Linked DNA regions of Daphnia pulex. The protein of the gene in region 1 purifies or fractionates together with the protein of each later gene. This does not show direct contact. Links are inferred from orthologs where the notes say so. Each region holds a gene or a part of one and is shown on either strand. Other genes may lie near its edges. The genes, in order: toll-interacting protein B-like and cleavage stimulation factor subunit 1-like.

Region 1 (4,232 bases):
AGTACTGTGATAAAAAGAAGTCTTGAACAAAAGACTACTACTTCAGGCAACACCCACCTAGGATGTTGCGACGTAGAAGGCATTTCCGCTTCCAGTGTCAGTCAGTTTAATGTCGCGGTTGGCGGTACCACGCCAACACCTGTCGACGGTCCAATCGTAAGTTAACTTTATAATTCCTCTCCTAACTTGACATTGCGTTTAATTGTTATGCAACTATATCTTAATGTGTTTATTTTTTAAGGTGGGTGTCTTTGTGATGATTCCAAATTCCATAAAACTGCCGGGTGAAAATTGGTACTCGATGCGAGGTGCAGAACAGATCTTGTTTTGTTGCGAAGCTATAGTCAAAGAAGAAGTTGTGGTTATCCGGAAAGGTGTCAAAATTGACGTTAAGGCAAAATCGATTAGTTTTTTTGTTTATCAAGATGCGCTACCGCTCGACAAAGAACTTCCGTGTGGTTTGTATCGGAACTTTGAAACCGTCAACAGTCTCAACGAGACTCTAAAAATTTTTGACGCATTGCCGTTATGTACCGGAATTGACGATGTCCCGTGCCATTTCGTCAAGGATTGCTCGACGGATTTCGGAATCCTAAAAAATGGTTTTTGGCATTCCACCGCGTAAGTGTATCTATTATTCTAAAGACTATTTTATTATGTCCTCCAACTTCCTGGCACCGTTAAATTAATTATAATATTTTTTAAAACTTGATTCAGGTGTTCCGTATTTCCTGATTCTCGACAAGTTCAAGGATTATGCGGATCGTGTTTTTCCTTTAAACAAACTCTTCTTCTTCGTTACTTCCAACAAGGAGAAAATCCTTCAACGTCATTGGCGAAAAAGAAATATGTTGTTAACAAGTATTTGAGCAACGAGGAATTGGTGAAGTCGAAGCAGGAAACCCAAAAGGAAATTAGGATTTTGAAACAGAAATTGAGAAGAACGGAATCTCGATTAATGGTTCGACTCAATCAATAATCACTGGCATCACTTATTGGGGCATTAATGTAATAAATCAATTTTTTCAGGAAAAAGAAACTGAAGTTAGATCGATGCGAGAGAAAATCGTGCAAGTGCAAGGAGAAACAACTAACGCAGCAACGAATAAACGGGTAAAAACTAAAGACTAGATCTTCCTACTGAGATATGAAAATTCATGTTTGTGTACTTTGTCCTTGTGACTGGTCAATAACTAGTCAATGCATAAACTTTGATATCTGTTTGCTCGATCGTTAAGTCCGGCTTATCACTAAGAAGCTGAATAATTTTTTGTTGGATCTGAAAGAAATACAGACAATTTTTTCTTGTTTTTCCGGGGTTCATTTTTGATTTGAAAGATAGCATTAATGAAATGTGTTTGAATTGAGATAGGAGAAATCAGATCATTACGCCATCTGGCAATGACAATTTTTACTTACATGTACAGGCAGACAGTACTGACAAGTTGACGACTGCTGTGTACTGCTGTATCCGTGGAAGACAGTCTCTTGACACAAAAGTTTGGAAACGTAATTATTTTCTTGAAAATGGCAAGTGCTGGTTCTGGTGTTCCATCAGATTCTAATGCTGGACAAAGTAGATATCGTCAACGCACGGTAACCACAACTCATTTCTTTATTTAGGCCGTATAAAAGTATAGCACTGCATAGTCATTCACCTTGCGCAACTACGTTGATTAGTATACTTTCGTGTGAAATGACTCATCTCTATTGATTTCTTACCACAACCCACACAATTTCTTTTTCCAAGTACTGAATTATTTAACAATCAATCAGGGTTCAATGTAACATTTCATATCATTTTACACCTGTATTGGATGAATTGATCGAAAAGAAACTAATGCAAATTCTCAAAACACAATACTTTGACTGGCATTGTAGAGCTTCTTACAAGTTACAACAAAGCCTTAGTTTATTTCCTCATTGTTTACGATACCATATATTTTTTCCTCTTTACCAAAGGCTGTGCTGGGAAATCTACCTGATGATTTTCTAAGACCTGACAGTCTCCAGGGTAGTAATCCATCTCACCAAGAACGTATTGATAGAGAACTGGCTATCCAACTTCACCAGCAGCAGCGTGTTGCAAATATTCAGTATGTCAACCAAAGCTATGCCGGTCAACTAATCATCACCATTGTTGAGGTAAAATCAAATCATCTAAAGCCAAAATGAAGTCAACATTAAATTTCACGACATTTGATCATTTCAGGCTTCATTTGTTAAGAACTACGGAGTAACTCGAATGGATCCTTATGTCCGTGTTCGCATTGGCCACACAATCTACGAAACCCCTGCTTGTCCAAGCGGTGGCAGAACCCCTCGCTGGAATAAGCGCATCCAAAGGTATATAAACAATCTATAAAAACTTTATGCTGAGTCATTTTCATTACTAAAATGACGTATTTAATTTGCCAATAGTTATCTACCGACTGGAGTGAAAAGCATTAGTATTGAAGTCTACGACGAGTGCGCATTAACAATGGATGAACTGATTGCCTACGGCCAGATTCCTATTCCGGAAATTGTTTTTCGCGGAGAATCCGCCGACCAGTGGCTGCAATTAAGCGGCAAACAAGGCGAACATAAAGAAGGGTCTATTCACATGATTTTTACACTCCTGGTAAAAATTTCTTTTCATTTGCCCTTCAGTTATTTTTTGGGGTTTTGTGACGCGCGGCTTCTTTTCCTTTAGCCGATTGCCGCCCCACAGCTGATTGCACCGGGGACTATGGGATTCGCCATGGCTCCAGCGTACGGCGGTTATCCACTAGTGAATTCCACAGTTGTTCCGGTTGGGCAAACACCAATAGCAACTCCTATGATGGTCATGCCCGGCTATGCTCCTTCCTGTGTCCAAATGCCCATTTACAACACAGCCAATCCAGCTTTGGTGACTCCCCAAGGAAATCTTCCCGTCGCTTCCCGCCCGAAACCACTTACTCAAGAGGTAATTTACAATTTTTATTTTTTAATACTGAGATTGTACTGAAATTTCTTCATTAAACTGCGAATTGCAGGAAATTAAAGAAATTATGAGCATGTTCCCGACGCTTGACCCTCAAGTAGTTCAGAGCGTCATTGACGCATGTGATGGGCGTCGTGAAGCAATCGTCGATAGTCTTCTTCAGATTTCTGAACAGTAATTAATTTTTTTAGACTGCCGGGGACGAAGGTTAATTATTTTTGTTCAACATCGCTTATTCGTTACATTACTTTTAACATGGAATGAGTTCCTTATTACTATTCATAATATTTTTTTAAATTAACAAATAGCTGTTTGCAAAGGAAATTTCTATTTTCAACTTTTCACAGTGGCTAGTCATTTATCTGATTGAAAAGGCTATTCCAGTTAATTTTTGTGTATTATCACATGGTATTTCTTCCATGTCTAGATTTCTAAATTCCCCTAATATATCCTCACTGTGGCGTAAGTTTATGAAAAATACATGTTGGCTAACTTTCCCTTACAACCCAGAATTAATAAAGTTTTTTGCGTAGCTTGAGATTCGATATTTTGCAGCTGTAAAAGAGAAATCCAACTAAATTTCTTTTTCCCCTTTAGAAAGCGCAAGATTGTAAATTTTCGCAATGTGATGTATTATCCATTCAATTAACATTTTCAAGTAGATTTTTATTCAGTTTTACGCAATGCTTGTATGATTCCGGTATCGATACTACACCATCTTAAGGCTAAGTACAGTAGGTAGGAATGGGCTTAATGTAGTTTAAATGATATTATCAAGAGAAATAGTAGAGAGAATTTGACACATTCTAGTAGACTTCGCAATTCGCTGAAGAATACTGCGTACATACGGCATCACGAGTGTTCTCACTGTATTTGGAATCGTTGACTCCTAGGTTGGATCCCTATAATACAAGTATTATTGCCTTATTAATTGAACATAACTTTGAACTGTGTTTGCTAGTAGATGATGAAATATTGCGAAAGAGATTCAATTGAATAGGAAATGTCAGATTGCTTACATCCACAAGGTTTTTGATGTTACAGTAATTGGTTCCATAATCCTAAAAACACAACAGACGTAAATATCAGTTATTCTTTCAATTGAATCGAATATTTCCAACTTACCAGCACTGCGTACCACGTCTGGGATGTTGAAAAGCCCTGGGAAAATTCAAAGCATTCTCATGAAACGGATGAGTAATTTAACAAAATAATTTATCTGTATTACCTGGACGGAACAGGAATTGTCTGCGGCGGGAGTAAA
Region 2 (4,069 bases), on another chromosome or scaffold:
GTCGATTACGCTTGTCTGAGAAGAAGAGTTTTTGTGAAGATGGATCGTAAGCCAGGGCGACCAGTACGGAAGCATTGTAGTTCTCCAATTTGAGTGGATTGCTTTGAGATCCATTGGTCAGGATTTCAATTTGATCGCCGACAGCAACAATTAAATCTGGAAATGGAAATAAGTGGTTAAGAGACCATTCCGGAACGAGTTATCCGACTCTTGTCTTGCGATCGATGGACTGGCAATCCGATATGCTCTTATAAAGTCTACGTGCTACAAGTTCTAGATGGGAGCGATACCAAAGTCACAGCTACAGAATGAGTCTACGTGACCGAATCGATGAAATGATAACGGATGTTTTAGGTTTCTTGCCGACATTTTGCGAAAAACAGAACACGTTATTAAACTCAAGAATCGGTTTAAATCCGACCGATATCAAAAAGGTAAACTAGTGGTTGTTTTGTTTTGTCTTGAATCCTAATGTTTCCACGTCGGAAATTCGTGGAACTAGTTAATATCTTCTACGCACGAAATTTTGCATTTTACTATTATTAACTTCCTGCAAATAGCAAGGTCGACTAATGACGTGCTCAAGGAGAAAATAGCAAAATATTGACAAACATGAATGCAGACAAAATAAGTTTCAAGGACCAACTACCGGCAGACGATATTTAGTCAATATCAGAAGTAACACGTTTCCTAAGGTATTCCCCGGATATCACGTGAGAATTGCATTTTTATTACAAGAGAAAGCTCGCTGGTTTGTTTTTATGATGTTGTCAATGGATTTTTATTTTCTTTTAAAGCCTGTGTGAGAGCAGAATTTTTTGTGTAGTCAGCTGTAGCAATAGTCATATTTCGATACCAGTGTCGTCTGCTACTACGGACTACGTGACTTGGCTCGGCATTTCCCATTTAATAATCGTATGGTAGGCAAAAATGTGTATATTTACCGTCGTAGGATTTGGTTGCGGCAGCAAGTGCGAAGAAAATCCACACTAATAAGGATCGTGAATTCATATCTCGATCCGTAGGCACAGAAGACAAATTTATAAAATACTCATTGATAAAAAGAAACGATCTTAGTTGAACAAATGATGAGTAATATTCTTTGTCTTCACCGGCCACCGAGACACCATGTACCGGGAAACCTGCCAAACCAACTAAATGTAGTCCGGCCGAAATTCTTGAGATCATGCGCGATGCAACCTTATTCCCTGATCTACTTTGTACTGCCGTGTCTCGTGGCTGGTGCAACACTAAACACTCTGGCGGCTAACAATGCAACTTCCGGCAATGCGCCATCTCGTTTGTTATCTTGAAATCGTATCCTACTTGTCGGCATTTTCTGTGTTTACACTGGTTCGAGAAAGACATAATCTTGTTCTTGTATTTTTCTCGTTCGATTTTGAATATTTAATTCACACAAAATGAAAGACTCCGAAATTTTGGAAGCGATGGAATCTAAAAATGCGATAAAGTTTAAAGAACAAATTTATCGACTCATTATCAGGTAGTGTAACATAGTTAAGTTTGTACTCGAGTCATCGTACGCGTGGTTATATTGTCTTGACGTGTTTTTCCCTTTATGTAGCCAATTATTTTATGATGGTTTCCAATCACTGGCTGTCAGTCTATCATCAGCAGTTCAAGCACATCCAACATGCCCCCCATCCGATCGACTCAATCATATTGTCTCGCTAGGACTTCAGCATGAACACAGTAACTCGATATTCAATGATAGGAAATACAATTTTATAACCATGTTTAATCTTTGGTAATATTTTTCAGCATTGAAGAAACCATTAAATAAAGTGGAGATGCTTTTGGGTCCAGGACTGGATTTGGAATATGAAACTGATGTTCAAACCTCAGCTCCAGAACCAGCACTTTATGAAACTGCATATGTAACATCCCACAAAGCGCAATGTAGATCTGGGGCTTTCAGCCCTGATGGTCAGTTAGTTGCCACTGGAAGTGTTGATGCATCCATCAAGGTGACATGAGCAACACCTTTCTACAATTTCATTACCTAATAACAAGTTCAATTGTAGATCCTTGATGTTGATCGAATGTTGGCTAAATCATCCCCAGATGGAGAAATGGCAACTGATCAGCAAGGCCATCCTGTTATCAGAACTTTATATGACCACGTAGAAGAAGTGACCTGTCTGGAATTCCATCCTCGTGACGCCATTCTCGCATCTGGATCTCGCGATTGCACTGTTAAATTATTTGACTTCAGTAAAGCAGCGGCAAAGAAAGCTTTCAAAACACTATCAGTAACAAAAAAGCTTTTCTCGTGGCCCTTACAGTTCCTATTGAATTTTTATATGATTTGTTTAATAGGATTCAGATCAAATTCGTTGCATGGCTTTCCATCCTACCGGAGACTATTTGGTTGTTGGTACAAATCAGCCCGTTGTACGTCTGTATGACACCAACACCGCTCAATGCTACGTCTGTTCATTTCCGTCTCAGTATCACACCAACGCTATTACCTCACTTAAGTATTTATTAATTGGAAGAAAGCATTTGTTAAACAAATTATAATGTGTTTATCGTAGGTATTCTTTTGATGGCAAACTTTATGTATCCGGTTCTCGAGATGGTTCCATAAAACTCTGGGACGGAGTGTCTAACAAGTGTGTCGGTACCATTAGCCAAGCCCACGACGGTGCGGAAGTTGGATCTGTTACATTTTCTCGCAGTGGCAAAGTATTTACACTGTCGTTTCTTACCCATATTTATAACTGGTTTTAACTGTATGTCAATGTTTTTTTTTCTCTAATTAATCAGTATGTTCTTTCATCTGGCACGGATTCATCTGTTAAACTTTGGGAGCTCTCTTCACTACGCTGCATTATAGCCTACACTGGAGCTGGCACAATGGGTAAGATAATTATTACAAGTATGAGGCTTATATTCAATAATCAAACGTAATTATGGTTTATGAAGGCAAACAAGAGCACCGTGCTCAAGCTCTATTTAACCATTCGGAAGATTTTGTCATGTTCCCCGACGAGGCAACAACATCCTTGTGTTGTTGGGATGCTCGGACAGCTCAACGCAAACAGTTGTTGTCGCTTGGTAAGGAGGAAAAAATTCAATGGATAAAATAATTCATTTAATATCTTGTTGATATTTTTTTAGGTCACAATGGTGCGGTCCGTTACATTATCCATGCGCCTAGTACGGCGGCTTTTCTCACCTGCTCAGACGATTACCGCGCCAGGTTTTGGTACCGTCGCAACCCACATTAGATTAAGCTGTCAAATTGTACATGAATAATTGAATAAATGAGAAAAGCTACACTTTCATCTGAATAAATAATTTTGTTTCTTGTTTGGATTGAAACCGTATAGTTTCTACAAATGACGTCATTAACGTCAGTGCATTTAGAGGCTATGTATAACGGGGTCATACTCTATTCTTTCGAGATTATCTAATTGGTTCCACCATACTTTAAGATGGCTGTTGAGAATAAGTTTGAACCACGGTGTAAAGGGGATGTTATTCTTTTCGAGGTAGCCTTGAAATTCTTGAAAGCCGGATAGGGAGACGAAAACAACGCGGCTCACTTCGTTCGGGTTGGGTTTTACGGGAACGTCTTTCCTCAAAAACAGGATATAATCCACTTCATGTTCACCCCATTTGGCATCAGAAGGTGCACCATAAATGATTCTGGTGAGAATTTTAAAATCAGACAGCTCAATACTATCTGGACTGATGCCCAGTTCAATTTCAAGCCTTCTTCTAGCAGCTCTTCTGATCCCTACATGGTGAGCTTCTTCAGCTTCATCAGGTGTTGTATTATGTAACGGATGACTGCAACAGGAATTTGTATAATAACCTATTACAAATAACACATTTACTAGACTATAGTTACTTTGCTGTAGTCATACAAACCAGGAAAAGTAATTTTGTGATTGGATCTCTGTTGCATCAGTAGCTCATTTTTGGTATTAAAGAGAAAAACACTGAAGGCCCGATGAAGAGGTGGGAGTTGACCATCTGGACCAAGTAAATGAGCTGCTTCCTTTGATAAATTCCCAACTGCTCTATCATTAGTGTCGAC

What was found.
Region 2: the proteins of toll-interacting protein B-like (region 1) and cleavage stimulation factor subunit 1-like purify together in Homo sapiens (co-immunoprecipitation; 3 studies listed by BioGRID and IntAct, with this or other methods). This does not show direct contact. The link is inferred for Daphnia pulex from reciprocal best matches to the Homo sapiens genes TOLLIP and CSTF1.

Annotation. Positions count from the first base shown.
Region 1 is NC_060026.1:14,642,011-14,646,242, reverse strand, and holds toll-interacting protein B-like, read left to right. Parts: upstream 1-1,418; 5' UTR 1,419-1,527; coding exon 1,528-1,596; intron 1,597-1,962; coding exon 1,963-2,145; intron 2,146-2,212; coding exon 2,213-2,346; intron 2,347-2,421; coding exon 2,422-2,623; intron 2,624-2,695; coding exon 2,696-2,950; intron 2,951-3,020; coding exon 3,021-3,146; 3' UTR 3,147-3,473; downstream 3,474-4,232. Other genes in the region: uncharacterized protein LOC124203962, read left to right, coding at 1-156, 242-621, 718-961, 1,030-1,131; uncharacterized protein LOC124203968, read right to left, coding at 3,775-3,870, 3,988-4,029, 4,094-4,129, 4,197-4,232. UniProt on the Homo sapiens protein: Component of the signaling pathway of IL-1 and Toll-like receptors. Inhibits cell activation by microbial products. Recruits IRAK1 to the IL-1 receptor complex. Inhibits IRAK1 phosphorylation and kinase activity.
Region 2 is NC_060027.1:1,883,450-1,887,518, forward strand, and holds cleavage stimulation factor subunit 1-like, read left to right. Parts: upstream 1-1,299; 5' UTR 1,300-1,421; coding exon 1,422-1,504; intron 1,505-1,585; coding exon 1,586-1,713; intron 1,714-1,782; coding exon 1,783-1,988; intron 1,989-2,045; coding exon 2,046-2,273; intron 2,274-2,340; coding exon 2,341-2,501; intron 2,502-2,558; coding exon 2,559-2,709; intron 2,710-2,790; coding exon 2,791-2,884; intron 2,885-2,949; coding exon 2,950-3,081; intron 3,082-3,144; coding exon 3,145-3,254; 3' UTR 3,255-3,321; downstream 3,322-4,069. Other genes in the region: protein cueball-like, read right to left, coding at 1-156, 945-1,188; isopentenyl-diphosphate Delta-isomerase 1-like, read right to left, coding at 3,390-3,844, 3,901-4,069. UniProt on the Homo sapiens protein: One of the multiple factors required for polyadenylation and 3'-end cleavage of mammalian pre-mRNAs. May be responsible for the interaction of CSTF with other factors to form a stable complex on the pre-mRNA.